Ovis aries: one gene and its partners. The protein of the gene in region 4 binds, or shares a complex with, the protein of the main gene of each other region. Links are inferred from orthologs where the notes say so. Each region holds a gene or a part of one and is shown on either strand. Other genes may lie near its edges.

The links.
Region 1: the proteins of PPARG (region 4) and NFKBIB are in contact, whole or in part, in a crystal structure (PDB 9CK0), measured with the Homo sapiens proteins. The link is inferred for Ovis aries from reciprocal best matches to the Homo sapiens genes PPARG and NFKBIB. Residues at the interface, in NP_056953.2 of Homo sapiens: Gln322, Thr325, Lys329, Phe334, Leu339, Gln342, Val343, Leu346, Lys347, Leu496, Glu499, Ile500; in NP_002494.2 of Homo sapiens: Asn286, Pro287, Ile288, Leu289, Ala290, Leu292, Leu293, Arg294, Ala295.
Region 2: the proteins of PPARG (region 4) and MED1 are in contact, whole or in part, in a crystal structure (PDB 6ONJ), measured with the Homo sapiens proteins. The link is inferred for Ovis aries from reciprocal best matches to the Homo sapiens genes PPARG and MED1. Residues at the interface, in NP_056953.2 of Homo sapiens: Val321, Gln322, Thr325, Glu326, Lys329, Phe334, Leu339, Asn340, Asp341, Gln342, Val343, Thr344, Leu346, Lys347, Gly427, Leu429, His494, Pro495, Leu496, Glu499, Ile500, Lys502; in NP_004765.2 of Homo sapiens: Asn638, Thr639, Asn641, His642, Pro643, Met644, Leu645, Met646, Leu648, Leu649, Lys650, Asp651.
Region 3: the proteins of PPARG (region 4) and CREBBP are in contact, whole or in part, in a crystal structure (PDB 7RLE), measured with the Homo sapiens proteins. The link is inferred for Ovis aries from reciprocal best matches to the Homo sapiens genes PPARG and CREBBP. Residues at the interface, in NP_056953.2 of Homo sapiens: Val321, Gln322, Thr325, Glu326, Lys329, Phe334, Val335, Leu339, Asn340, Gln342, Val343, Thr344, Leu346, Lys347, Leu496, Glu499, Ile500, Lys502; in NP_004371.2 of Homo sapiens: Asp62, Ala63, Ala64, Lys66, His67, Lys68, Gln69, Leu70, Ser71, Leu73, Leu74, Arg75.
Region 5: the proteins of PPARG (region 4) and NRIP1 are in contact, whole or in part, in a crystal structure (PDB 9CWN), measured with the Homo sapiens proteins. The link is inferred for Ovis aries from reciprocal best matches to the Homo sapiens genes PPARG and NRIP1. Residues at the interface, in NP_056953.2 of Homo sapiens: Val321, Gln322, Thr325, Lys329, Phe334, Leu339, Gln342, Val343, Leu346, Lys347, Pro495, Leu496, Glu499, Ile500, Lys502; in NP_001426204.1 of Homo sapiens: Ser130, Thr131, Leu132, Leu133, Ala134, Leu136, Leu137, Ser139.

The regions. Positions count from the first base shown.
Region 1 is NC_056067.1:47,981,172-47,987,283, reverse strand, and holds the start of NFKBIB (NF-kappa-B inhibitor beta), read right to left. Parts: upstream 3,846-6,112; 5' UTR 3,781-3,845; coding exon 3,602-3,780; intron 1,374-3,601; exon of another isoform or gene 1,301-1,373; intron 1-1,300. Other genes in the region: SIRT2 (NAD-dependent protein deacetylase sirtuin-2), read left to right, coding at 4,219-4,234, 5,069-5,115. UniProt on the Homo sapiens protein: Inhibits NF-kappa-B by complexing with and trapping it in the cytoplasm.
Region 2 is NC_056064.1:39,606,230-39,612,125, reverse strand, and holds the start of MED1 (mediator of RNA polymerase II transcription subunit 1), read left to right. Parts: upstream 1-2,272; 5' UTR 2,273-2,481; coding exon 2,482-2,506; intron 2,507-4,556; coding exon 4,557-4,663; intron 4,664-5,896. UniProt on the Homo sapiens protein: Component of the Mediator complex, a coactivator involved in the regulated transcription of nearly all RNA polymerase II-dependent genes.
Region 3 is NC_056077.1:3,655,720-3,661,130, forward strand, and holds part of CREBBP (CREB-binding protein), read right to left. Parts: intron 3,305-5,411; coding exon 3,062-3,304; intron 1,927-3,061; coding exon 1,824-1,926; intron 1,551-1,823; coding exon 1,404-1,550; intron 587-1,403; coding exon 469-586; intron 1-468. UniProt on the Homo sapiens protein: Acetylates histones, giving a specific tag for transcriptional activation. Mediates acetylation of histone H3 at 'Lys-18' and 'Lys-27' (H3K18ac and H3K27ac, respectively).
Region 4 is NC_056072.1:56,669,307-56,674,717, reverse strand, and holds part of PPARG (peroxisome proliferator-activated receptor gamma), read left to right. Parts: intron 1-3,699; coding exon 3,700-3,899; intron 3,900-5,411. UniProt on the Homo sapiens protein: Nuclear receptor that binds peroxisome proliferators such as hypolipidemic drugs and fatty acids.
Region 5 is NC_056054.1:142,919,561-142,925,749, forward strand, and holds the start of NRIP1 (nuclear receptor-interacting protein 1), read left to right. Parts: upstream 1-2,598; 5' UTR 2,599-2,939; exon of another isoform or gene 2,940-3,281; intron 3,282-3,558; exon of another isoform or gene 3,559-3,825; intron 3,826-6,189. UniProt on the Homo sapiens protein: Modulates transcriptional activation by steroid receptors such as NR3C1, NR3C2 and ESR1. Also modulates transcriptional repression by nuclear hormone receptors.

The DNA of each region.
Region 1 (6,112 bases), on a different chromosome or scaffold from region 4:
AAAGAACCCTGAAAACAGTCACTATATGCGTAAGTACATAAGATTTTTTCTTTCTCAATATGTAAATCTCCTATCTTCTGATAGGGTTTAAAAACAAAGGAGTGTTTAAGCAAAAGTAACAACGTCTGAAGTTTAGAATACATGGATAAAGGAAATCTGTGACAGCAACACACTGCAGGCCAGGAAGAGACAAATGGAAACACACGATTCTAAGGTTCTTTTATGTTATGAGAAGGAGCACAACAGCACTTGAAGGTGGCACATAATAAAGGTAAAGTGGGGGCTTCCCTGGTGGCCCAGTGGTGAAGAATCTGCCGCGCGATGCAGGGGACGCAGGTTCGATCCCTGGTTGGGGAGCGTGTACTAAGCCCACGGGCCACGAGAAGCCCTAAAGCAGGAGTCAGCAAACATTTTCTGTAAAGGGCCAGATAAATAATTCAGGCTTAGTGGATGCTATGGTCTGTCTATTACTATTCAGCTCTGCTATTAGCATACAAAAGCAGCCATTGGTGATATGTATTGATAAATGAATGGGCGGCGCGGCGGGATTCTAACAGAACTTACTTTACGGAATCTAAAATTTGGATTTCATGTAATTTTCACTTGCCATGAAATGTTCTTCTTTTGATTTTGTTCCAACCAGTTAAAAATGTAAAAAACCATGCTTTGCTCACAGCCATACAAAAGCTGGTGCCTGGCTGGATTTTGCCTGGAAACCAGTTTGCCAACCTATCTTTCCCAGCAACCAGTAAAATAAAAAATAATGAGTAAAAGGTAACAAGCCGACAAAACAAATACAATGGAACAAAATGTGCTCATTCCAAAAGGCAGGAAAAAAAGGTAAACAAAGGAGAGATAAGTAGAAAACTAATAACAAGATGACAGACATAACCATATCAATAATTAATTAAATACAAATAGTCTAAACACTCCAATTAAAAGGTAGACACTGGACTTCCCTGGTGGGCTAGTGGTTAAGAATCCGCCTGCCAACGCAATGGCAGGCAGGGGGCATGGGTTTGATCCCTGGTCTGGGAAGATTCCACATGCCGTGGGGCAACTAACGCCACGTGCCACAACTGCCTGTGTGCTCTAGAGCCCGTGCTCCCCAACAAGTGAGACCACCACTATGCGAAGCCTGCACAGCACAGCTAGAGAGCATACCCCGCTCGCCACAACTAGACAAAGCCTGTGTGCAGCAACCAAGACCCAGTGCAGCCAAAAAGAAACAGCTAAATAAACACAAATTTTAAAAAAGGAGAAGCTGTCAGAGTGGATAAAAAAGCAAAACCTAGGGTCTTCCCTGATGGTTTAGTGGTTAAGACGTTGCACTTCCAATGCAGAGGGCCAGGGTTCAATCCCTGGTCAGGGAACAAGATCCCACATGCTGCAACTAGAGCCGATGCAGCCAAATAAATTAAAAATAAACATTTTTTTTTAAAAAGCAAAACCTAACTATACAAGTAACAGCTTTTCAAATAAATTTAAAACTAAGTTAAGAATAAAAAGATGGAAAAAGATATACCATACTAACGCCTGTCAGTCAAAAGTAAGTAGGAGTGTTTTAAAATAAGAGTAAGATTTCAGAGCAAGGAATATTACCTGGGATAGTGCAGATTATTTCACAATGATAAAGAGGTCAGTTCAGGAAGAGGACACAATAAACCTAAACATTTGCACTCCTTATAACAGAGCATCCAGTCTCATGAAGGAAAACCTGATAAAACAACAAGGAAACCCACAATTATTATTAAAGATTTCAATACCTTACTCTCAGTAACTGATAGATCAAGTAGAGAGAAATTACCAGCAAGGATATAATAGACTTGGAAAAGAGAAGAACCAAAGAAACCAGCACAGGACTTACAGGTCTAGTGCTAAAGAATCCACCTGCCAAGGTAGGGAACACAGGCTCAGTCTTTAATCCGGGAAGATCCCACATGCCTCGGGGAAACTAAACCAACGCGAAGCAACTACTGCGCCTGTGCCCTAGAGACACTGCTCCGCAACAAGAGAAACCACCAAAATGAGAGGCCCTCACACCGCAACTAGAGAAAGTCCGTGGGCAGCAAGAAAGACGAAGCACAGCCAAAAGTAAATCAATAAAAGTTTTAGAAAAGAAACCCATACAACCTCTAACTGACATCTGGAGAACTACACTCAACAACAAGATACCAGACATTCTTTTCAACTGCACACACAATAGAATTTAACTACAAACCAATAAAAGGAAGGTATTCGGAATATCTGGAAACTAAATAACATACTCCTAAATAATCCACCGCCCAAAGAAGAAATCAAAGGAGAAATTAGAAACTATACTGAATTAAGTGGAAATGAAAGCACAGCACATTAGAAGTGATGAGATACAGCTCACGCACTACTTCGGGAAATTCACATGAATCCTATATTAGAAAAATAGGAAGGCCTCAAATCAATGACCTCAGCTTTCACCTTAAGAAACTAGAAAAAGAACAAAAATAAACTCAAAGTAAGCAGAAGAAAGTAAATAACGAAAGTCAAAACAGAGATAAACACAACAGAAAGCAAAAAAAGAGACGAGAGAAAATAAATGAAAGCACAGCTGGTTCTCTGGGAAGACCGGTGTTTCTTGAGCGCCTCCTATGGGTCAAACACCGTTCTGTCACTGGGGCTACGGCAGTAAACACAACACACAAAAACCCCGGGTACATTCCCTCAATTAGGTCTTTATGACGTCGTTCCTTCTACCTGGAATACTCTCCCCAGATAATCTACTTGTCTCATTCTTTCCTGCTTTATTTTTCACCAAGGAAATTCCTGTCTTCTGACACACCATTTTTCTTTCGTTCGTTTTTCTGCCTGTTTCTTCTCTCTCTCCTCTCTCTTTCTTACTTTGTGTCTATACGGCTCTCTGTTTCTTTCTTTCCTTCTCTCTTTCTTTTTTGTTTCTCCTACTGTTCCTTTCTTCCTTCCTGTCAGTCTGTCTGCCCTTCCATTTATAGACCCCCCACACTAGAACGTAAGCTCCACAAGGCATAAGTTGTTGTGCTTTCTTCACTGCTTTATCACCAGCATCTACAACTGGGCCTGAAACGCTGTAGGTGCTAGATAAATACTTGTTTAACAGATGAATCCTTGCTGTCATAGAGTTTACATTTTCTCTTTCAATGTAGGATTTGAAGATCAGTGCTCAGAAAGTGGGAGATCTTAGAGTCAAAAGCCAAATGTTAATTTTGGAAATCAAAATTTAAAGCTCCTAAATTAGGAGCTAAGGATCAAAGATCATATTTGGAGGTGAGATGTCAGAAGGAGCCTGTGAGCTATAGTTTTAAGATAGGTCTCAGGACTGGGGTCAGGAAGCTCAAATTGAGTTTTGAATGTGGAATTAGTCAATGGATATGAAACTCTGAGGGCCAAAGTTTCAGAAAGGACGGGGTTATGATAAAAACTAGCTTGGAAATTGATTTTATCAAGGGTTAGACTCGGGGGTTAGAGGTCAGAGTAAGCATTAGAAGACAGATTTAGGATTAAGAGGTTGGAAAATCAGTATCAGGGACTAACAGGGAATCAGATGTGGGATCATCCTAAGGCTCGGTGTGGCAGGCTAAGGTTCACTCACGTGTCGCCATCCTCAGTGACGTAGCCGAAAACGAGGGGCGCCCACGACAGCCCCGGGCCCAGCTCCGCGCCTAGCCCAGGTCCTCCAGGGGCCGCCGCGTCCGGACCCAGAGAGCCCAGGCCGCTGTCGCACCATTCATCGGCGTCCGCAGCTTTCCCCAAACACGCGACCCCGGCCATAGCCCCCAAAGCCTCAGGGGACCCCAGCGGCTGCCCGCCAGTCGCTGGGCTCTGCCTGGAATTCTGGCGCTTCCGCCCTGCTGGGAATTCCCCAACACTCCCCCCGGACTCATCCAATCAGAGTCGGCTAAATAGTAAGCGCCCCGCCCTCATACTACACCGTGACCAATCAGAGTATTCAGATGGACTGCGACTCTCTACCCTTTCCCACTCATTCCGCGCGCCCTTTACCAACATGGCTGCGGACGCGAGGCACTCTGGGATTCGTAGTCCGGCTCTCGCGTGTCTCTTCTTACCTCAGAGGGGCACGCTCCGGACGTTTTTCTATGCCTCCTGGGAGTTGTAGTTCTTTGACCTATCTCTGCCCCCCTCCTGTTTCCGGTGCCGTCACGGGATAGAGCAGTCGGTGACAGTCCCGAGGGCCCCCGCCCCGCGCCCATGGCCGATCCGGATCGTGAGTCGGGGGCCCTGGTGGGAGGGTCGGGCCGCGCCGGGGCCTGGCTGAGGGCTGCAGGCCCCGGGGCCCGAGGGCGGGAGTGGTGGGGCAGGAGATGGGGGCTGCATGGAGGGGAATGAGGTTCAGGGAGCCGTTGTGATATATATTGCTGGATAGATTGGTGGGTTTCTGGGTCTCGAGGTTTTAAGGGTCCGTTTGCCACTTCCCCTAAGTGACTAATGATAGCGTGTGTCTCGCACCTTAGTTGCTAAGGACCCTTGTTACTAGGGACTTAGAATACCGCTGTCCGGGTTGCTAAGGGTACCTGGTTGTTAGTGGGAACTGTAGGGTGCTGGGGACCCCTGGTGTCCCCTCCTATCTCTTCCTTCCTCTTGTAAACCTGCCATCTCGCCCTTCCGTTCCGCCCCCACCACCTCTTCTTGCAAACTTGCCTCCAGCCCCAGTATCCCTTATCTTCTCTTTCTTTCTACATTTTCTTCTGCTTGTAAACCTAACCCTCCCAGCACACACTCACACACTACTGTGTCCTTCCTAACTCCTCCTAAGTCTTCCTTCATGCCCTTATATGCTTTACTTTCTTTTCGCTTTCCTAAGCCTCCATGTCCCAGCCTCTTTGTCCTTCACCAACCACCTCTCCTCCCAGCACTCTCCACTCTAATAAGATCTGCTTTTCTTCCTTTCCCTCCCTCCATCTACTCCCTTTTGATACCCCCACCCCATATAACTAGGTTGGAGGTCTTGTTGCCCCTCTCTACCCCGACTTAGAAGCCCTTCATTCCCCCTTAACCAATCCCTTCACTGTAACCACGTCTGCTCCCCCTCCTCCCCCAGCCTCTGACCCTGAGGAGACCCAGGCAGGGAAGGTGCAGGAGGCTCAGGTGAGATGGGGACAAGGGTGGAGGGAAGGAGAGAGATGGACTTCCCACACCCCACACTGGGGGGAGGTGGCAGAGGGGAGTCAGATACCCCAGGGCCCTCAGCTCACTGCCCCAGCTCCTCACCCCGGCTCACCTTGTGGTTTAGCTCCTGGGGGAATGGAGGGTTCTGGGGCCTGTCAGAGAAGGGTGTGCGGCCTCAAGCCTAGGCCTGCCCTTGCAAACTTTCCTTTCTCCCTGCTCACCCCTCCTACCCACCTTCCCTCCTGAACCTCGTTCCCAGTGGGCGTGGAAGAGATTTGGCTCCTGAATTCACAGATCTCACAGACGTGTGACTCGACACTGACTCTACTGGTGATCATGAAAGTAGCGCAGGGCACTCTGGGAGCGCAGAGTAAACCGTGTGAGATCACACAGATTCCAGCCAATCCCTTCCCGGCAAGAGTCCACAGGCTGATCTCAGAGTCAGACTGAGATACAGCACACGGTAGTCAGTGGAGAGTAACTTAGGATTTTCTTAGGTAAGGTGAGAAGTGGTGTCCCAGGCAGAGGGTATCCTGGGGGGCATGAAAGAGTGTCATGCGTTCAGGATTCAGGTGGCTGATTACCTTGATGGTTAGCACTTACTGAGTATTTAAGCCAACTGAGTACTCTGCTTATTTGATGGGCATCCTAGCATCCTGGGGGCAGCGGTGGAGGGGAGGAGTACAGGTCTACTGTGGTTATTTTATAGCCAAGGAATTGGAAACTGAGTTCTTTAACAACTTGTCCTCTGTCCATTGGCTAGAAGAGCAGGGACAGGTTTGCAACCCTCGGTGCCTTGACATATTGCCTCCCAGACACTTCACTGGAAGCAGGGGTCACAGAGGCTCCACCATCACCTTCAGCTTCCCCCTGAGACCAAGTTGCTCCCACGTGCTGGGCAGGGCCCTCGCCTCCTTCCACAGAGCTTCTCTGTCTGCAGCCTGAAAGCGTGCCAGCCCACCCACAGACACGAGGT
Region 2 (5,896 bases), on a different chromosome or scaffold from region 4:
CAGGTATTAGGACTCCACAGATGCTTGTTGAAACAGCATTTTAGTTTAGTTTTTGTTTTTATATTTTGGCTGCACTGGGCTGTTTGTGGAATCTTAGTTCCTAAACCAGGGATTAAACCTGGGCCCTTGGCAGTGAAAGCATGGACTCTTTAACTACTGGCCCACCAGGGAATTCCCACAGCATTTTAAACATGAACTATCTTTGGAAATTCTTAGTTGGATAAATTCTCTCTGTACTTCTTCAATGTTAATATTGCTAGATTTATATTCTATAATATTTGGAACATACTTTTGTACTAAAAAATGTAATTATTTAAAATTAAAATTTAACTGAGTGTTGTTTTTAAAAAATCTGACAACCCTGTCAATTTGCCTCTACATATGCATTGAGTCTCTGACATCTGTCAGGAACTAGGCTAGGCAATATCACTAGACTAGACAGTAGTGAAAGAAATAGACCCAGTGCAGCCGCCCTCCTAGATTTGATAGTTTAGCAGGGAAGACAGACATTGAATACATCATCATGTACTTAATTAAGTACTGAAATAGTATAACAGAGGACCTTATTAAGTCAGGGTTTAGAGAAAGTTTGCATCTCTAGTCCAGATCAAGAGACATTTACTTTGAGAACTATATAAGAGGGCCTCAGTGAGATGAGGGGTAATGGAGAAGGGGAAAGCCTTCCTGCAGCTAAAAAGGCCTGTTCAAGGACCTTGGGAGAGAAAGGAGTGAAGGAATTGTCTGCAGGTGGAAGGTCAGTGTGGTTGGGATTTGGCAAGGGGAGAAGAGCTAGATTGAGAGAGGAATGTTAGGACCAGTAAAAGATTTGCCTACTAAGCCCAGGTACAATGCTAGGTAGTGTGGATTTCGAAATAAGAAGCAATTACTGCCTCAAAAAACTCTCTGTGTAGTGACTGAAAGGAATGAGGGTAAGAGGAATAGACAAGAAGTAAATTTTAATTCTACTTTCAAGGAGCATGGTTATACATATCTTTGTCGAAATAAACATGTCACAAATAAAGATTTGTTCTTATCTGTCTGTTCATCTGAACTGTAGTTACCAGCAGGAATTGTTTTGGAGGATGTTTGCATATCATTTTTGAAATATGGGGGAAAAGTCTGAGACTAAAGAGCCACTGGAAATCCATTGCTAAATATCCTTACAGCAAATTAGGTAAAATTTCAGCAGTTATTCTCAAGGATGTATTTCAAAAAAAAATTATAATAATAATAAAGAAAAAAAAAAAAGAGTAACCTTAACTATTTTAAGAACTTCCACCCAGAGCTAGTAGAATTGTATTTTAGTCTGGTTCTTGTTCCAATGGGCAGGAACTTCTAAATTCTCAGCATTAATCCAGATTTCTCTTCGTGAAAATTTACTGATACAAGAGACAGGACCACACATTCTTTGTGATTTGTAGTGTAGAGTGTGAGCTAACCTGCTTGCTTTTACTGACTACAAAAAAAATACAATCCATTGTGAACACCTTTGGGATCCTAAATATAATCGATGACTACTGAATATTCATTGGAAGGGCTGATGCTGAAGCTGAAGCTCCAATATTTTGGCCACCTGACTGACGCGAAGACTCCACTCATTGAAAAAGACCCTGATGCTAGGAAGGGTTGAGGGCAGGAGGAGAAGGGGAGGATAGAGGATGAGATGGTTGGATAGCATCACCGACTGGATGGACATGAGTTTGAGCAAGTTCTGGGAGTTGGTGATGGACAGGCAGTTCATGGGGTCTTTAAGAGTCGGACACGACTGAGCGACTCACCTGAACTCATGACTGTTGCAAACAAGTTTTTCTTAACTCAAAATCTTCCACGTCCTCAGAAATATTGAAAATGCTCAAGAAAAATATTTCTGAAATTAAAAAGGAAATTCGGTAATGGAAATTAAGTGTACTGGGCTACTTTGGGACGTCGTGTTACAAAGACCCAACGTCTAGTATCTCAATAAAGGGAAAGTTTTAATAAAATATTCCTAACAGCAATATTCTTCGAAAAGCTAGCATTTCAGTAAAGACAGCTGGGGCTTTTACTTTGCAAACTGCTTGAAAGCCAAATCGAAAGTGCCAACTTCCACAGAGGTGTTGAACACTAGCACTACACAAGCTCCACGCCTAGCTCTGAGAAGTCGGAGACAAACCAGAGAGCAGGCAGGGTGGGGATAATCTCGCGAGAAGCAACGTATAAATCATTTTTCGCGATATTTGGTGCCCAGCCCCTTTCCCCCTTCTCTCTCTCGCAGGATCACGGTTAATCTCGCGATCTTTTGGAAGTTCCGTTGGGGAAGATGGCGGCGGCCGCGAGCACCCTTCTCTTCTTGCCGCCGGGGACTTCAGACTGAGTCTTCCCTGGAAGAGTGGGACTGCAGGTTCCCTGCGTCCCGGGAGCCCGAACCAACTTGGTTCCTCCATTACTGGTGGGGAAGGGCATATCCTCTTGTGTAGGACTTAGGCCCTCCCCGCCGTCAGGATGAAGGCTCAGGGGGAGACCGAGGGTGAGTGACTGAGGGGGAGATCAGGGGGCGGGACACAGCTGGGGGAGCCAATGCCTCCGCGGGGGCCACTCTCCCGAGGGCTCAGGATCTAGGAGGCGGGATATGTCTGAGTTTTAGATTCTGACTGCCTTCCTTGGTGATGGAGAGCTTCGACTTTGGGGAGATGGGGGCTCCCAACTTGAGTGTGAAGGTTTCCTATTTGGCAAGGGGCAACATTTGGGCCTCAGGGCATTTTTTAGCCTAAAGAGATGGGAGACCGGGCAAGTGAACGTAAAACTTTCTTCTTCAAAAGAGAAATCTGAATGATGACATAAAACAATAATAGGACGCTATATATCAAAGTACTGTAAGATGTTTTGTCGTGAATGAAATGATTAGGTCCTTATGGTATTAAAAGCCAGTAGTTTTAAAAAATGTCACAGCGTTCATATCTTGTAGTATTGTATATTTTTAAAATGCTTTTAATTTCAGTCTTTAAATATCTGAACTAAAAACTGTTGAAAAACACTTTTCTGTGTAACTTTATATTCTCTAAAGTTCCACATTTCAGCTTAGATGCTCCGTTAGCATTTTGGACATAGTTCTGTTGATACAGGATTATTTTTTTGTCTTCTCCAATGTGCTCTGAGCTTTGTAGAGCAGGATCTTGCCTTACTCATCATTGTATAGTCCTGGGCCCATAATGTTGTGTTGTTGTGTTAGTCACTCAGTCGTTTCCGACTCTGTGACCCCACGGACTGCAGCCCACCAGGCTCCTTCACCTATGGAATTCTCCAGGCAAGAACACTGAAGTGAGTTGCCGTTTCCTTCTCCGGGCACATAATAGTTGCTCAAAAAAACGTTTCACTGAAGCATTTTTGTAAAGATTTATCGTCGGCCGCCTTAAGGGAGAGAAGGGAGGTGTGTTTGAAGGAGAAAGAAAAAAGGGTGCAGACGAATGACTAGTGTAAGTGGAATCTTAGTGAGGCAGGAATTTTGTCTAGTTTGCTCACTGCTGTATCTCTGAGATGTAAAATAGTGCCTGAGTGAATGTCTGAAATATGGGAATTGCCAAACATTTCTCCAGAATTATAAACTGAATGAAACAGCCCCAAGAACAGTTTTCCAGAAGATGAAGGCCTTGGAGGGAGGAGTTGAATCTCGATCTGAAGATGTCACTACTTCATCTTTGATTGCTGACATTCTATTCATCTTTCAAGACATCTTTTCTGTAACATCCCTAAACTAATTACACACTTTTCCTCCTTTGAATTTTGATAGTAATGTGTTTCTATTTTTAAGAGCATATCTCATTTTGCTTTGTATGATGGTTATTTTCACATTAACTTATCCACACCCCCTCACAGATGTCATCTCAGGCATATTGTATTTTTGCACTGCTGGTCTCCAGCACAGTCCTTGCTCATGTTAAGCAGTTAAAAGAATTACAGGAGTGTTGGAGGTTATAGGAGGTTCCTTCAAACACTATCTGGGATCCATTCTTTTCTACCTTTCTCTTACCTTTGCCTGAAACTCATCCTTTAGTCACTTGACATTTCCTTTGTTCATATAGTTTGAATTCGAACAGGAAATAGCTGAATGGCAAATGAAGCTTGTTTTCTTGATAATACTTACAAATTGATCTCTTAAAATTATGTGAAAAAATTAAGAAAGTCTTTATTTTCACATTGAAAACCAACTAACTATAGTAAGGCCATGTTCAAATGTATGCTCTGCATATGTCATGCAAAGGATTTCATGCCTATCATGAAATTATTTTGTCATTAAATAGTAGTCTTGATCCTCAGGACTGGAGGTGGTTCTTTTTTTGCTTCTCATTAAGTCTGAAGAGAAAGCAGTCCCCTTCTATAGTGTTGTTAGATTAGGCCCATAATTTCTGTCTACTTGTTATTAGAAATGAATTCTTTGTGTATTTTGAAGTAAATGATATTGGATAAGATTTTAACTTGAGTTCGTACCAGGATGAAGTATGGGAGTTTTGTTTGCAAGAAAAACTGTGGAAGGTCTTGAAAGAAGAGTTGCTAATAATTTTTTCTGATTTATATCTTAGAGTCGGAAAAGCTGAGTAAGATGAGTTCTCTCTTGGAACGGCTCCATGCAAAATTTAACCAAAATAGACCTTGGAGTGAAACCATTAAGCTTGTGCGTCAAGTCATGGTGAGGACTATGGTGAACTGGATAAAGTGTTGTGCTTAGAAAATTATTTGATAAGCTAAGTTACCTATGTAGACTTTTTCTAGCTAGTCATTATGGTGTGTCTTCAGTTTTATTTCTCATAACATGATGGCTTTCAACTTTTAAGTCTACCTAAGAAGAAGATATGTTAATAGAATTGTGTTAATCATGAGTTATAGTAAGCTGGGATATTTTAGGCAAAAGTTGTAAGAAACACTTACAGAGCGTAATTAGTTTCCTAGTGACCTAGTGTTTAGGATTCCCAGCTTTCATTACTGTAACCTTGGATTCAATCCCTGGTTGAGGAACTAAGATCCCACAAGTCCCACAGTGCTGCCAAAAAAAAAAAAAAAAAAGATACATGTGATAGCCTGATATAGAGAAACATTTACTTTTTACTTCCTGTCAAGCTCCTTGATTCTAATGTGTTAATACTTTCATTGTATCTATACTGGTAGAAGAGTTTGCAATCATTTTTATTAACTTCACTTGTTTACTCTGTGACTTCCTCTACAGTACTTTCTCCTTCCTGAGGCATTCACCAGTATGGGGAGCCCTTAGTTAAGTGGTATACAGGGAGTGGGGTGAGTGTATAGCACAGCACTAGTAAAAGAATTGAATTTGCTGTCAGAAAAAGCTTTATTTTAATCTTGACTCCACTACTACCTGTGTAACCTTGGACAAATTGCTTGTTTTTTCCTACCCTCAATTTCCTCATCTAGGAGGTAGAGACACCAGTTTGAGTAAGATGAGCAACACCAGTTTGCTTTTTCGCACAGTTTTGCTGTAAAGATCAAATGAGATAATGAACACCAAAATGTCATGTTGCTTAGAGATTTCCATAACTAAGTTCTACAGACATCTTCTGGCTCAGGATTGTATACATAAAAAAGATTTGTAGTTTTTTTTTTTTAAGTTTCAATGAGAATTTTTCCAGTCTGGGTATTCAGAGGTTGTCATTTTTGTACTAGAAGGCAGCCATATTCTAGTTTGAGATACCACCTCTAAATGATATTGTCATTAGAGAAACATCATGAGCTAGAGGACTCCAGGTGGCTACTACGACCCTCTCTTGGGTTACCAGTTCTTGGTTTGGTCACCAAAGTTTCCATTGTCTACTTGTCACTTTTGCAGATTCAGAAACCTGCTTTTATTGGTATGTAAAAGATTTTGAAGAATTTTCAACAACTCTGTGTGTGCATGCTAAGTCTCTTC
Region 3 (5,411 bases), on a different chromosome or scaffold from region 4:
CTGGTTTTGTAGGGTCTAACAAACTAATGAACTTTTAAATTAAAATTATTTACACTGGGTAAAGTATTCAGCACTTCTAACTCATAAACCAAAGCCCAGGGATGCTATGTGACTTAACAGTCAGGGGGTACTAAGTCCTCATGACAGTTCATTCCACAGCTGAACCTCTTCTTGCATACTCACTGACACAGGTGACAACATAGTATAACAACACTCCACTATAAAGTATACCCACAAATTAGAAAAACTTCATTTACCCCTGTAGTGGGGACACTTTAAGATTTTGCAGTTACAAACCAAGAGAGGTATGCAGGGAGGACCTCAAGTCTTAGCTGGGACATCTCCCTGGTCAGTGTCCTCAGGCGAGGAGACCAGCAGGCTGATGGAAGCCCCCCTCCTCCCCACGTCCAGACCTGCAGTCACAGGTCACCCGGGGGCCATGCGGCTGGAACGCGAACGCTGACCCACCCTGCTGTTGGCAGACTCGTACATGTCCCCTTCTACTTTCTTAGCGTAGGCCACCAGGTTCTCCATGCGGCGATCCTTCAGGGCTGCAGGGTCAGGTGTCGGGAAGATGGCTTGGACACTGAAAGGACAGCGCGTACTCTCAACCTACTTTTAGTACAATGTCAACATCCTGCCATTTCAGACGTGACCCGGGAAGAGAAGAAACCGCGGTCTACCTCTGGGCACAGTACATTGCTGAGAGACCCCCAATCTCTTGCCTAGTTCATGCGCAGTCACTCTCTGGAGACAATGCTGATCTGCCAATTTATCCACAAATCAAACACAACAATATTTTGCTATTAACAATAAGTGCTTGACCAACTCAAGAATAATATGATTTTGAATTCCTAATCTTTAAACTACTAAGTACAAAAAATTTTGATTAAAATAATGAAGGAGAAAAAAAAGAAAACTCCATCGGAATCGAGTTGATTAATGTCACCCTTCATTTAACTTAAATTGCTGGAGAAATCAACTATTAATTTCCCATGTTAATTGTATGATGGTATTGTGAAGCCATCCGTATTTACTAGGCCCAAATTCCTGCAATTCTCAGGGCTCCCCACAACTATAGCCTTGAGCCATAAAATAAGACAAGCTTCTGAGTGAGTTCCAGCTCCCCATGCACTGAGAGTTTAGAAAATAGGCCTGCCCCTGTGACATGGGTCAAAGTTCATATTCCTTTCCAGGATCCACTGGGCACTCAGAATCTGGGATCCTCCAGCCTCCCTAAACAAGCACGTGATCCCCTTCAGTTGCAAGGGTATGATCACCTGGGACACAAAAGAACACCTGGGAGTTAAATCAGATACCCAGGAAACTGCAAAACTATCACACTGCCATCAGTCACAAAGTGCTTCCATCACATGTGAGTAACAGGCGAGAGGGCCACGTACAGTTTATGCACTAGATGGCTCCGCAGGTCCTGAGTGACGTGTTCATGCCAGCTTTTCCGAACGCCAGTGCTGGAAGGAGGTGCTGCTGCAGGTATAGTGCTAAGGGTGCCAATGTTCCCAGAGTTTGAGCCATCATTCATCAGGGGGCTGAGGGGAGAGGAAGAACAGGTCATCCAACTGGAAAAGTGACTCACATGACATTCATCCAACTAAGGGTCTTCAACCATATGTGACTTTAAACTCTGTTATCTGTTAGAAAGAAAGAAAGAGGGAGGGAGGGAGGGAGGGGAGAGGGAGAGAGAAGGGAGGGAGGGAAACAGCCCTACACTTTAGAAAGAACCAAGAGTTCTATGTGGTTCCCAGCCCACTTTAACATGTGACTGTCACTCAGACAGGAGCCAAATGAAACAAGGGTCTTACTTTGTAGCCCCAAGGGAAGTTGGAAGAGCTGATTCTGAAATCAAGTTTGGTGGCTGCTGATCTGTTGTTATTCCTCCTGCTGGAATGTTCATTGGGTTATTTCCTGAAAGACAAAAAGAAAAGGAATCAACGAGCTCCTAAATTATACACCTCAAAGTCCTAATAACAGATAAGTCACATATAAAGAAATGATTCTTATGAAAATTATTCTTATGACTCATAATAATAAATGCTATGGCAGGAACTCTGGGAGTTATATTTTCAATAATGGTGGTCAAATTGTATAAATTCAATTGCTTCCCATCGCACTTGAAAACCAAAGAAGAGCATTTCTACGGAGGCTGGCTGGCAGCATGAATGCTTGGCGGCTATGGAAAAAAATCAGAAATGATCCATCTGCAGCTTCGGTTTTGATTCTGGCTTCATTCCCATCACATACACTTCTTCATCTTTTTGTTTTGCATATCAGAAGATAAAAATCATAGAAATTAACTTCACGTGAAGAAGACAAAAGGTCAATTTGTCTACAGTATTCGTTCTAAAGTAAGAGAAAGGTGGGATGCAGGTTAATAGTCTTGTTCCAGATTATACCACCAACAGAAGTGGTGTCAGACTGGAAGGGACATTTCAAGACTCCAACCCAGTCTTCTAGCCAGCAGGAGTCAGAGATGCATTAGGGCAACTATTTCCCAACACGCAACAGATGAAGTATCTTTAAAGTGAAAATACTTTATTAGGAAAAGAACCAAACCACCACAACAACCCTGTTCTGAGATCCCTGTTAGCTTGGCCGGATTCAGACTGGTCGGCTCTAGTCACACGTAGTCCACAACCAAGAAATGCTAGGAGCTGCAGAGTCAAGGCAAGTGGTACTGCCCTAATTCCAACCTGTGAGATTTTGCATTCTGAGCCATGTGAAATGCCCTTTATGAAAACTATCCAGACACAAGTGACAAAAATGTTGGTTCATTTGCAAATGTGATTCATCTTACAAGCCTGTAACATCTTCAGTGTACCTGACTCTTTAGCCTTTTCCTGGAATTTTTTTATTTTAATCATTTAAAAGACACCATTCACCATAATATATATATTTGAATTTTATTACATATATATATATTTAAATTTAAAATTTGAATTTAAAGTAAAACAGTAGCTGAAAACAGCCCTGGGCTCCAGAAGGCTCGTCATTCCCGACACTGCATTTGCACAAGGAAGTTCTCGAGAGTCCTTTCACCTACCCAGGGGGTTGAGACTCCTCATCTGCTGGTGAGTTTGAGGCTGTGCTGGTTGCTGGCCAGGAACCTGAGGCTGCAGCTGCGTCTGGGGCTGGTTCAGGTAGGGGAGTCCAAGAGCAGCATACGCTCGTTGCATGGAGCTGGGGTCTATCGGATTTGGGTTACTTAAAGAAGTGGCATTCTGTTGGCCGGTGCCAACAGAACCAATGGTGTTTTGAATTCCACTAGCTGGAGACCCCAGGATGGCTATAAGAACAAACAGACAAACACAAGAGATAAGTAAAAGGGAAAAGTCTACAAGTGAGTTAAAAACGACTGAAAAACAAGTAAAATTTTATCAGAAGACCACCTATGTATATCATGAAGCACTGGAACCCCGCTACCAAGAAAGGAACTGTGCAGACAGAAGGAGCCCATTCTATTAATTTCATCTGCACAGCGGCACCCGAAGAACAAAAATCTGAAGAGAATTCAAGCTTCTATGTTAGAAAACAACGGACCAGAAAATCAGCGATCACACAGTCAAGGTCAGCGTGTATTAAATGTAGAGGCTCATAAGAAGTCTGTTCTGGGGAAACAGCAAACATGGGAAAACATGGGGGTCATCAGCCTCCACTGAGGCGAGCTAAGAAGCCCCTCCTGCTGCTGCTCCTCGGGGTCCCTCACTGCTCAGTGCACAGGCACAGAGGAGGAAGAGGAGGAGGAGCGGAGGAGACGCCTAGTTGGTCAGTTCTGTTACTTATTAACCTAATTAATATCTTAATTACTAAAGGTATCAAGTAACAGTAACTTAATTACGATCTCTGACACAATCTTCCAAAAAACAAAACTGCATTTCCTTGAACCCATGGTGTACAGTGACCAGGCAACACCACGCCTTTCTCTGCTCCGAGTTTCCTACGTGGGAGGGCACGATGCTAAGCTCTCTGCTATGTGAAGCTGTTCAAGAAATACCGTGGCTGACTGAGGAAAATCTGTAGCAACATAAAGAGCTCCATTCCCAAGGGCTTCAAAGTTAACAGAGAAGACCCAAATACCCATCTGTCCGTCTGTCTGTCCATCGTCCAAATGTCCTAATCGATTCAACATATGGCAGAAGTTCTGCATCATACCACTGATTCTTATTTTTAACAGTTCCTTTCTTTCCAACTTCCCCAAACTTCAGAGCCATGTCATAAACAGCAGGTTATAAAACTGATACTATAACATAAGATCTTTGAGACATAAAACACTATCACAAAATTTTTCTTTAAAATTCAGACCATTACTGTAATAATAATATCTTCACATCACCATCAGCACAATTATAATATAAACAACTCAAACACTTATCCGAGTAACTTAACGAAACCAAAATGTGTTTAAAAAAAAGCCCTTGATAATTACATATTCCATACTATTTAACTTTTCTAAGAAGAATATTCAGATCTCAAACTCATTAATGCTCATTAGACACAATTATATACACCAAGCACCTCATTATTATAAATGAAAAGCAATTTCCAAGGTACATTTTATGATAAGTATGTAGCTCTTAAATAAGTCATGTATAATACTTTTAAAGGTATTTTTTCTAATAGTTAATACTCCACGAAACTTTAAGCACATGCCATTGTACTACTGAAACTGACATGCTGACTCATCTAAAGGAAGTGCAGTGGAGAAAGGCAAGTGACAGTGCTAAGATGACTTGTTTTTCTATTACTCTGTGGGGTAAGGAGGAACAGACCTAGGCCTATATTGACTTGCATATTGATCAACTGCGGAGAGAGAGGAATTTAAAGAAACAAGGTGTACAAGGCTTTGGGTTTTGGGTGAAGATGCAATAGCAGTGCCTCAACAATGATTTCTTTCTACTAAAATCCACTCATGTCCACACTTCCCCAAATGCCATCCTTTTACCCCAAATTCCCCATCCTAGGAGGAGGGCCACTCCCAAGCTCAAGGCCACTTATGGACTACTTACGGACTTCCTCCTCTCATGGAAGCTGCTGACTTGGTCAATGTAATTTTTGTGTGTGTTAAAAGCATTTATGTCTTAAAGTACACATTACTGTGGTTTTTTTTTTTACTTTAAAAGAAAACATATCTATCTGAAGACAAGCATTTGGTACTTGACATTTTTAACTAATTTAGAGACAAGGAAAACAAAATACAAACAAATAAAAAGGTCTCTGAAAAACAGACATGGCCCAATCTGAGTCCAAATGCAGCTATGAGATAACATCTATGCTTCAGGGACAAGGAACGCAGGCATTTCCTACGGGGCAGATGGCTGGAAGGGGAGTTACCTGGTGAAAGCCACCACAAACTCTAAGTCCTACAAGCTCAAGATGCTTCTGCTTTCCATAAA
Region 4 (5,411 bases):
CACAACTGAGCGACTTCACTTTTTTCACTTTCATGCATTGGAGAAGGAAATGGCAACCCACTCCAGTGTTCTTGCCTGGAGAATCTTGCCAGGGACGGGGGAGCCTGGTGGGCTGCTGTCTATGGGGTCACACAGAGTCAGACACAACTAAAGCAACTTAGCAGAAGCATATTTACTTCTTGTCCTTTAAAAATTGTCACTTTTCGTATTGAGGTACAATATATTTTCTGTTGCTTGCACACATTCATGTAAAATACATCTCCTATTGTTTATTGTTTACAGGCAAATAATTTAAAGCGCAACTTTTATAGTATTGATGATATAATTTTCCCTTTCCAGAAAAGTCAAAGCTATCATAAGCATGATAATTAGGTCGGCTTTTGCCTTCTTGTGACCATTAGCTTACTCTATTTAGAGAGAGGAGCAGCCTTGTAGAGAGTGTTCGGTTAATTCTTACAAAGGTGAAAAAGGAAAGAAATTAAATATCATGGTATCAAAGGTCGTACTTTAGCATTTACAGGATTGCAAACATGACTAAGAAAATCCCTTTTCAGGGTTTTTTTTTTTTTTTTTTTATGGAAATGGGCTGCATAGAAAATAGCTAGGTTTTCCCTATTCCATCCACTTGAGACAGAAGTTTTATTTTTCACAAATATGAAAAGTTAGTGAAACCTTAGCTTTACAGAATTAGGCATCTTGTGGCTTAGACGGTAAAGAATCTGCCTGCAGTGTGGGAGACCTGGGTCAGTCCCTGGGTCGGGAAGATCCCCTGGAGAAGAGAATGGCTACCCGCTCTGCCTGGCGAGCTATAGTCCATGGGGTTCGCAAAGAGTCAGACACAACTGAGCAACCAACACTTACACCTTCACTCGCTTTGCTGATTAGGATGTTGTAGTATATAAATGATGCCTTTTTTCTTTTATTAAAAAAAAAAAAAGCTGACAACTTTCAAAATAACTTCTTAGCAGCTTGTTAAATTCTAGAACAAATGGTTTCACAAGTTTCTGTGGCTCTCCCCATTTTAAGGTAGTTCTCTTCTTTCCTGCAAACAGAAGCACCAGTGTATGTTGCAAAAAAGAAAAACCCGAATGGCAAATGCCTTTAAACTGCAACATGTTACTTTTTGTTTCTTTAGTCTTCTTTGTGGTATGGGGGAAATCTCCCCAAATTCAAATAACTTTCAGAAGGTTTAACAGAGTGAAAAGTCCTAAGGCGGAGGCTGTGGTGCTCACACCTTCAAGGGGTTCATTACTGCCCACAGTCCAGCCTCCACCGCCCTCTCCCACTGCTGCTTTTTCCGCTTACATTTCAGACAAGCTGTATTCTTGGCTGTTGCTGCAAATTACCTGGTGATAGAACACTCTGGGGCTCTGCTTCCTGTGCCCTCCTTCCCTGTCAAAATCCTACCTGGTGTTGAAGCCCCAAGTCAAACACCTTCTCTTCCATCCAGTTTCTAATTCCCCATTCTTTCTCTTCTGTGAGCTTCTTAACCTCTCCTGTAAGCACCACGTTCTCAGAAAGCAAGGGAGCAAAGAGACCTGTGTTGTCAAAAACCAAACTATTGAAAGCAGTTAAAAAAAAAAAAAAATGAGAAGTTAGAGAGGGAAAAGTCAGGAAAATCCATCAGGAGACGAGTGCAATCCTGTGAACTCAGACAGTGGGCATCACGCGAGGTGCCAGCATCGAGAGAAACATCACAGCCGTGACCAATGACTGCACGTGTCCGAGGGGAGAGAGGTTGTCAGAGATTACTCGAGGTGCTTAGTTTGGGTGACTGAGTTAATCAAGAAAGGAAAACTGGAGGAGGAGACAATTTGAAGGGGAAATGAAAAGTTTGATTTTCTGTTCCGTTAAATCATGGGCTCAGATGGTTAAGAATCTGCCTGCAGGAGACCCAGATTTGATCCTTGTGTTGGGAAGATCCCCTGGAGAAGGGAACGGCACCCCGCTCCAGTATTCTTGCCTGGGAAACCCTGTAGACAGAGGAGCCTGGTGAGTTACAGTCCATGGGGTCGCAAAGAAACATGACTGAGCCACTAACTTGAGGTGCCTACAGAATATCCAGCATCCACGGGCAAAGGGACACAGGAAGAAGTGAAAAATAAGGGTACAAATCTCAGGGAAGAGAGGGCAGGAGTCTTTAGCACATTTTATGCATTAGAGAGAAAACTTGAGCTAGGAATAACAGAATGTAAATGAAGGAAGAGGGGCTGTCGGAGGTCTGGAAACTAGCAGACAGCAAGATATGGGGAGCCAGAAAGGCAGAGACCAGTGTGAGAAACTTTTGAAATTAGAGGGTGCAGAAGGTCAGCAGTGTGAAGGGCTGGGAGGAAGCCAGGGAGCTCAAGCAGAACGAGCACTTAGAACAGGCCCCTAGATGTGACCGTTAGAGGAACTGTAGGGGCCTTTGTAAGAGCAAAGTTTTGGCAAATTTAAATGAGGAAAAGCTAGATTGCAATGGTGCTGTGCGCTCAGTCTCTCAGTCATGTCCTACTCTTTGCGACTCAGTGAACTGTGGCCTGCCAGACTCCTCCATCCATGGGATTCTCCAGGCAAGAATACTGGAGTGGGTTGCCATTTCCTCCTCCAGGGGATCTTCCCAACCCAGGGATTGAACCTGCATCTCTTGCTTCTCCTCCATTGGCAGGCGGGTTGTTCACCACTGAGACACCAGGGAAGCCCCCTTACTACACTTGATCCTAGCCAAAAGGCCAAGAAGCGATTGCAGTGGGTTGGGAGGTAATGAGTAAGACAGTGAGGGGCAACAGCTCTTTCAGTAAGTCCAGTGGTGGAGGAAAGAGCATGAGGCGGATGGTTCTGGGGTCAGAACCCTAAACCCTGCTTAGATGGAACGGAAGGAGCTGGTAGAAAGCAGTACAGGAGAGGGAGAGAATGATCCCTGCATATGTAGGCCCTCTTTTACATTTTGGATCTACCATACCCATCCTTTTCGTCCTTGTGTCCCCTAGTCCAGTTTTTTGAGCCGGTATCTTCCATCAAACAGGTGTTCAGTGAATGAATTAAAACGATGTCACGTAAGACTTCAGAGTCAGAAGATGAGGCCGTAGTATCTTGCTCATCTTGACTTTGGAGAGAAACCTGGACAAATGTTTAAATGTCCTCTCCAAAAAGTTTGAAAAAAGTTACCCGCAACTTAAAAATTACTTAATCGTGGTGATAAGACTGCCCCTTGTTTTACTGTAGAGGAGCTAGAAAATAAAATGATTGCCAAGTCCTGCAAAGCCTCCAAATGCGCATATTTTTTTCCCTCAAGAAAGAGAGGTGGAAAAAACATAACTTATTGGCAACAGTCATATGAAAAGCAATAGTGTTATTTTTCATACAAGTCTTGTTTACAGGCTACAGCTGTTGCAAAAGAAACATGTTAAAAGTGGAAAAACTGACCTTGAGACAAAGCCTTACTCATTGTCAAAAGCCTGATATGACTGCGAATTCACCCCTTAGATGTTAAAGGACAAAAATATTTTTAATAAGACTCAACCTAATTCACTTGCCACCCCTCCCATGTTCATTGCAGCATGATTTATAATAGCTAAGCCATGGGAACTGCCTAAGTATCCACTGATGGGTGAAAGGATAAGGAAGTTGTGATGTGTGTGTGTGTATATATATATACACACAGGAATATATATGTATATACAGGAATGCACTAATTCATCCCACCCTTTTCTTCTGTAGCCATCAGGTTCGGGCGCATGCCACAGGCCGAGAAGGAAAAGCTGTTAGCGGAGATCTCCAGCGACATCGACCAACTGAACCCAGAGTCTGCTGACCTCCGGGCCCTGGCAAAGCATTTGTATGACTCGTACATAAAGTCCTTCCCGCTGACCAAAGCAAAGGCGAGGGCGATCTTGACGGGAAAGACGACAGACAAATCAGTTAGTTCTCTTCTACTGTCTTCATTTGGGGTGGCTGGGTTTTGTTGTTTTCCCTTTGAGTAAATGACTTACCATGTTATGCACAGATGTGGTAAAGAAACCGCCTGCCATGCAGGAGAACCCAGTTCAATCCCTGGGTTGGGAAGATCCCCTGGAGAAGGGGATGGCAACCCACTCCAGTATTCTTGCCTGGGAAATCCCATGAACAGAGTAGCCTGGCAGGCTACAATCTATAGGATTGTCAAGAGTCGGACACAACTGAGCAACTAAGCACCCATGCATATATGTTGCGCGCGCGCGCGCACACACACACGCACACACACACACAGAGTACCATTCTGTGGTTGGCTGGTACCTACTTTAGGCTGAGTCTAAAATAGAGGAGAGAGAGCGTTTTCAGATACGGTAAATAAACATTATTTTAAATAGGGAAAAACTTCTTCAAGCTGTCCTAATTAAAATTTTGAGACTAGTATAGAAAGGTACAGGTCATCTTGGTGGTGGTTTAGTTGCTAAGCCGTGTCTGACTCTGCAACAGGTCATCTTAACTTGAACAAATGAACTGAGGCGTCCTTCATGCCACCATGCTCTTTCAGGATCCATATCTTTTCTTTTCTTGGCATCAAAATCCCTGTCCACATTTGTAGGCCTTCAAGCAGCCCTGTTTTTCTCTGGGAAGGGCCTGACCTAGGTTTGGAAAAGGTGGTCGATCTCACGATTGTGTCATGCAGAACTACTCAAGTACCTCTCAGAAGTTCTCTGTGGGGCATAAAAATATATTTCGGATATCACACCACCTTTCTTTCCTTGTAGAGCTGTCTTGATTATTATTCCCAGGGAGCTGGGAGCCCCGTCCTCATGTTGTATATATGAGTTTTATCTTCTCAGAGGCTCTGAGCAGCCTGGGCTGCTACAGGGGAGTCTCAAACATCAGCAGGCGCATTGATGACCTGTTCAGGAAACCCAGACTGGGTGATAATGGTGGTTGAGTCCGTTTTCCAAGAAGTAGAATTCTTCCCTGGTAACAAGTTGAGAAAGCACATGGGAATTATGTTGAAACAAACTATAACTGTGCCTGAACTCTGTCCCCAGCCCTGCCATCACCTTCAACTGTGACCTGGATCCCATCTCTGGACCACAGTTTTCACAGGCAGAGTCTGGTTTTGAGTACAATGTAGTAGGTTCCTAGGGTAGTAAGAACCACAGGACATTCTGAAGACACTGTCCCAACCCTTGAAAGCCTTTTCATGTCATTTATTTTCAGATGAACACCTGCAGGAGAGGTGTGCAATTACTGAACAGATGAACAGAAATATGTAACTCTTTCCCCACTTAATTTTATTTGGGGAAAAGTTTTATCACCCGTTACTGTATTTTGATGACTTATCTCAAGACGTTTTTTTTTTTTTCTTTTAGCTACACCATAAGAGTAGAATCAGCTAATAGAAAAGGAAAACTTTTTATGCAGTTGGCTGTGTAAAAAGCCAACTATCAACAAGGGCACTGGGTTTC
Region 5 (6,189 bases), on a different chromosome or scaffold from region 4:
TTCAGCTTCAACATCAGTTCTTCCAATGAATAGGGTTGATTTCCTTTAGGATTGACTGGTTTGGTCTCCTAGCAGTCCAAGGGACTCTCAAGAGTCTTCTCCAGCACCACAGTTCGAAAGCATCAGTTCTTCAGCGCTCAGCCTTCTTTATGGTCCAACTCTCACATCTGTACACGACTACTCAAACGACCATAGCTTTGCCTATACAAAACTTTTCTATACTGTGAAAGTATCTTGCCCAATATCTACTGGATGCCTACCATTTGCAGAACACAGGGATAGGTGGGACATATCCAAACATGAACCAAAAAGACATGGACCCTATGCCTGTAGTGACTGCATCTAGAATGGGATACAGATAAGTAACCCAGTCACCAACTGGAGTGAAAAGTGCTATCACAGACAGGTTCAGGGAGCGCATCATAAGCATGCCTCTCCCAGACAACTTCTTTGTGGCAGATAAAAGCTCTGAGCCTGAACTATATGTATCTGATCCCACAGGAACCCTGAATTTAAAAAATAGTTGTGTGTGTAAGTATAAAAGCTCAAGAGCATCTTTTTCACATCACAATTGGTTAAAATGAGTTGACTTCAAAATACAAATTCCAGAATAGGCATTCTTCTATTACATATATGCCCCAGTATCCTTACAATGACTCTCTTAGCCAGGAAATTTAGGTATTGATTTTTTTAAAAAACAAAGTACAACAACAAAATAGCCCTAAAACAATTAGAATGATTAAAAATGAATTCCACAAAGGTGTGCAATTTACTTAACATTAATGTACTATCAAAAAGAGTTAAGGCTTTCAATGATTGGATTTCTGTGGGTTTGAGAAGATAGATGAAGAATTAAGTGAGGAGCTCTGTTAAGTTATCTAACATTTTGCAGTAGACTTTTTAACAGGAGTGTTAAAAAGGGCAGGACCTGTATTTGGCTTGTTGCATTAACTGTGTAATCTTATTTACTAGGAGGTCGTTTATCTACCAACCACAATGATCTAAAACCCAGTTAAGAAGAAAAAAGAATGATTTTAAAGCATCATTTGAGTAGTCCACATATCTGCCACAAGGTCGATGCACTAAAGTTCACCTGCCTTTCTCCTTGGTGAGCACATCAGTTCCTTACATGGCACTATTTTGTTTTACTTTAGACTGAATGGTGACAAATGAGGCTATCTGGAATCTCAGTCTGCACCAGACTAGCAGTTGCCAATCAGAAGAGGAGGATAATGTTAGAGACAGGAACCCTGGCAAAAGAGAGAAAAGATTGTTAGTTAGGGAAGGGGGAGAGAGAGCAACTATGAAAGACAGAGATGATCACTGGATCATAGTATCCTGGAGTCCTTCAGGGAGAGGACTGATGGCTTCTATTCATCCTGGGAGCATCCCTGACTCCTAGGAAGGAGCTTGATAGAGAACAGGAAATTGATGTAGTCCTTAAATTCATTATAACCTACTATCAAAATTAACTCTGAATTTTCAAGAAAAAGCCAAAAAATGGCTTAAGAAAATAGAAACATTTATAATACGTTTTCAGAAAATCTTTGTACAACAGTTTTAAAGAAAATTAGTTTGATTCCTTAAAGGGTCACACTCCAATAATGCTGCCTATCACTTAATTCAAACAGTTGGCTCTGAATCAATCCTGGATAAATGTTGTCATGCAGAACAGTGGACTTTACTAAGCTGCCTTGAACAGATTTCAAATGGTGGTAGATACAAATAATAAGCTCTCATATGAGGTTTAAATATATAAGATGGCAACAGATCGCACAGTTGAAATCACTAGGGTGATGTAAAATAATTGTTCTAAAATGCACTATCACCATGAAGAAAAATCTTCCTGCCATGTGCCCAGCACTGTGCTAGGTGCTGTATTATTAAGCATTCTTCTGAAATATCGCTTTCCCTTTTAAGACTGTGAAGGTGTTCCCGAATCCTCATTCATATTTTTAAAGGTTAAATGACATTTTACACGCACAACACAACCATTACATAACAGGCATAGAATACTGTTCTATGACTTGGATAGTTTTGTGTTTTTTTTTTAAGTGCACTAGCAACTTTATTTTAAAATGCTGTCGAATCCTTAAGGATCTGAAAACCTACACATAGGAATGGAGTGTCTTATCCACTCACTTGTTTTGTGTAATAAGTGTTTAAACACAGGCATGCCATTTCGGAGTTTACAGTGAGCCTAAGCTGTACTTCAGCGTTTTTGCAGCAAGCAAAAACAATTTCTGCAACGGTCCTCATTTCCCCTGGCAATTTTTTTTTTTTTCTTTTTCTTTTTCATGGCGAGTTACTAAATGCTAGATGCTAGAGTCAAAAAGAAACCTGACATCTGGGGAGGTGTTGCGGGGGTGTTAATAGTTCTAGCTTGATGTTTGGGGAGAGCCTTGAGGATAAGATTTTAAAACAGCAAATACACGGAGAAGGGGGAAATGATGGTTTCGGATGACTCTCTCCTCCCTCCACTTTCTCTCTTCACCAATCCGTATCCCCCCCAATTTAGAGGCGGGTTCAGGGAGATCAGGCTGCAGGAAACCAGGAGGCTCTCCGGGGCTGCCGCCCCGGCCTCGTGATGTAATTGTTATTTCTTACTCGGAGCCTGAACCGGCGGAGAGCTGCCCGAGAAGTGGCAGCTGGGTGCCTTCTGCCTTGTCTTGGAGGGTCAGGTTCGGTCCGAGGACGGTGTCGATTCGAGGAACGGCTCCGCTGGAGACTTCGCAGTGACAAAGCAGCAGAAGATAAACCCTGCTCCCGTCCGAGGAGCTGAACCCGGCGCTCCTCAGGTCTCCTTCCCAGTTTTCTTCTCGGACTCACCCGCCGATTATCCCTGGGTGCCTTCTACGTGCAGGGCGCGGGATCAGAGGGACCCGCAGTTAGCCCCCCCCACCCCCGGCCAGACTAAAGCAAGACACACAGATTACAAGGTGGTGGAAGTTGGGGGGGGTGGGCGAGAGGGAGCCCAGGAGACACGGGTCGTGGGGTGAAGTGGGAGGAGAAGGAAGCCTAAGATGCCGGCACCCAGGAAGGGACCCGGGGCGTCCCGACCCCCAGGCTGAGCCCCCTTCGCGGGCTTTTGGCCTGGGTCACGAGAGTGGTCCCCACCCCCCCGGGAGCCCCAGGAGGAGCTGTCCCGGCGCCTTCGGCGGCGGTGGGGGCTGCTGGACAGAGCTGGGAGCCGCGGGGAAGGGCTCGGGGCGCCTGGAGCACCCACCTCTCCCGGCCGCCGCGCTCTTCCAGCTGCCTCGGGGCGCCCGCAGCCCCCGCCCGGCCGGCCGGAGGGCGGGCGAGGAGGAAAACCAGCCAACCGAGGGGGCCCCGCAGTTCCCGCGAGCCTCCGGGACCCGAGCGCGTGCCTGCCGCCCCGGTGACAATGGAAGAGAGGGGGAAAAAAGGGTTAAGAAACTTGGCTGAAGAGCTGAATGGCGTGGAGCGGCGAGGGGAGGGACTGGGCCGCGGCCGCCTCGGCGGCGGAGGGAGGAGCGCGGCTGCGGGCGGGCGGGCGGGCAGGCAGGCGGCGAGCGAGGCGCTCAAAGTCAGCCTCGCAGACATTGCAGCAGAGCCCCGAACTCGGGAGGCGGCGGCGGCGGCGGAGGAGGAGGCGGCGCGGCGGCGGCGGCCGAGGCGGAGGGACGACCCGGCCCCGCGCTCGCCCGCGCGCCCGCCCGTGGCCTCGCGGCGGCCGCTGCGCCCGGCAGCGCTGCCGATCGCAGGGAAGAGCTCGCCGGGGCGCCGAGGGAGGACGGGGCGGCGGGGCGCCTTCGCGGAGTGAGCTGGCCGGAGCCCCGGCGCTCGGAGCTGCGGCGGCCTCGGGTGAGTGGCGGCCGCGGCCGGGGGGCTCGGACGAGCGGCCGCCGCCGCCGGAAATGGCCGGGAGCGCGGCCCGCGGCGGCGTTGGCTTGGCGTTGGCGGGCAGGGCCTCGGGGGGCGTCGGGGCGGCGGGGGGCCCGCGCTGCGGGGCGGCGGGAGCGGACGCGGACGGCGGGGTGAGCTCGGCGGAGGGGGACGGCTTCCGGGCAAATCCCGCCTCTCCTGCCGGCTCCGAACCTGCCCGGGAACTCGGGGGGCCCGGGCAGCGGGGCCGGCAAGTTGTGGAGTTGGCCCGGGGGCTCACCGGCGCGTTCTTGGCCGTCCTGGGCCGGGGACGGGAGGGCGGCCGCCGTGTTGCCCCGGACCCGGGCCGGGGTCGCGCCCCCGCTCGGCTGTCCTCCTCGGCCCGGAGCCCCGGGCGCTTCTCGTCGCGCCGTTCTCAGTCCTGCTGCCCCGGGCGTCCTGGGCGGCGCCGGGCGCAGCTCCCCCCGCCTCTCGCCCGGGTGCCTCCCTGCTCTGAGCTGGCCGGATCCCGGACTGGGGAAAGTGGGTAGGCAAGGGGACCGCGCTCCCGGCCCCTAGCCGACCCTCGGGTCCAGCCAGGCCCGTTGGTACGTGTCCTTCCCCTCCCGAGGGCGAGGCCCCTGGGACCCGAGGCCTCAACCATCACTTTTCTCCGGAGCCAGAAAACCGGGCTCACCTCTAGAGTGAACCCCGTGCAGGTCCTGGGAGGCTTCGTTTTTCTCTCCTACATCTATGTGTCCTCTTCTACTACTAGCGGATATTGTCTTATGAAGGGTTTCCCGGGAAATATTCTGCAAACCGTCACAACCCTTCCAAAGTAGTTTTCCAAATTTTAATCAAGAGTTGCTGTTCCGTCTGGAGGAACAAAGGAATCAACTATGTCTTAGAGGCGAACAGTCTGCGAGTCTGTGACACATGTTGATCTCTGAAGTATTATAGGAGTTTTTACCTTCTATCTCGTTATTGAATTGAGTTTTGAAGATAGTAGACGGACAACAGAAGTACTTTTGTGTTTAAAAAAAAAATTTCAATAAGGCGTTTTTATGTTGAAAAAGAAGTAATACGTTCTTAGCCACAGGGACTTTTCACTCAGTTGGTGGAACTGAGTTGGAGTTTGTCTCCGGTAATATAAATGATTAAATGTGAAATTGTGCGGGGCGGGGGAGGGGTTGGGGAGGGGGTACTGTTCTTAGAGGAACAGAGTCCATAGGATGAAAGTGAAAAATGGTTGTGGAGTTACAGATGATGGTTGTTTTTTACGTTTGGTGAGGGAGTGATTTGTGAAGCAGAGGGCTCTGGTAATTCATTCTTTAAAGTTATGAATTGCATTGAACCTGCTTATTAGAGAATCATGACTTTAGCAAGTGGGTGGCATCTTCCCGATGTGATTCTTCAATGCTTAATCACTAGTTTGCCACCTTTGTTGTTGAAGACACAGTGAGATAAGTGGACTTTTTAAACAAATGGTGCTTCCTCTGCCTGGCACCAAAGTGTGGGTTGCTGCCTGGAGTATGTTGAAATGTTTTCAGCTTTGAAGTAAGTTGCTCTGGTTTTGCCCAGCGTTTTGGTAATGTGGTTTGGGTTTAACTGGTTTCAGAGAGTAGTGGCTTCATCACTAGTGCTAACTTTTCTCTGCTTGAAATTAGTTCCTAAAGACAAAGAAGATTCCAGCAGTGGAACAGCCATTATCCTGCGGGCTGCAGGATTATTACTTTAGTCTGTTTCCTACACTCTGGTGGGGAAAGACCTCTTTCCACACTTACGCCTTGAAACTGCCCTAGGAGCATGAGTAAAATACTTACAAAAAAACAAACAAAAAGGACTCCTCATTGTTGGTTTTACTCCAGTGCGCTCTCTACAGTGCCTTTGAGGTAGTTGAAAACCAGGTTTAATGCTTGGACCACTTCCTGTGTGGGTCTCCAAACTTTTACTAATTGTCCACCCTAAAACTGTATAAGTTTGCAGTAAAAAGACATGAGTAAAAGAGGCTGAAGGCTCCTCTGACTCTTGCAGTTTTTTTAAGAGCAAAACATCATGATAAAAAATAACCTATACCACCACCTAGAGTCTGTTTGTTAGTTTATTGCTCCTGAAGTTTGCTTCAGTGGACATGCCTCTTGTGGTTCTGATACAGCCAAAGAATTATTAAGAAATGCTAACTTTCAAAAGGCCATCCAAGAGAATGATTATTTGCGTGGTAAATAGCAGGTGCCAGTTTAAATTACGCATGCTACCTTTACAATAGAAAATGATGACATACCGGGTTAAGTGGGCTATTCACCAAAAGATATTAATTCAAAAGACTTTAAGAAATTTTGTGTCTGTGCTTTAGGTAGTTCTAAT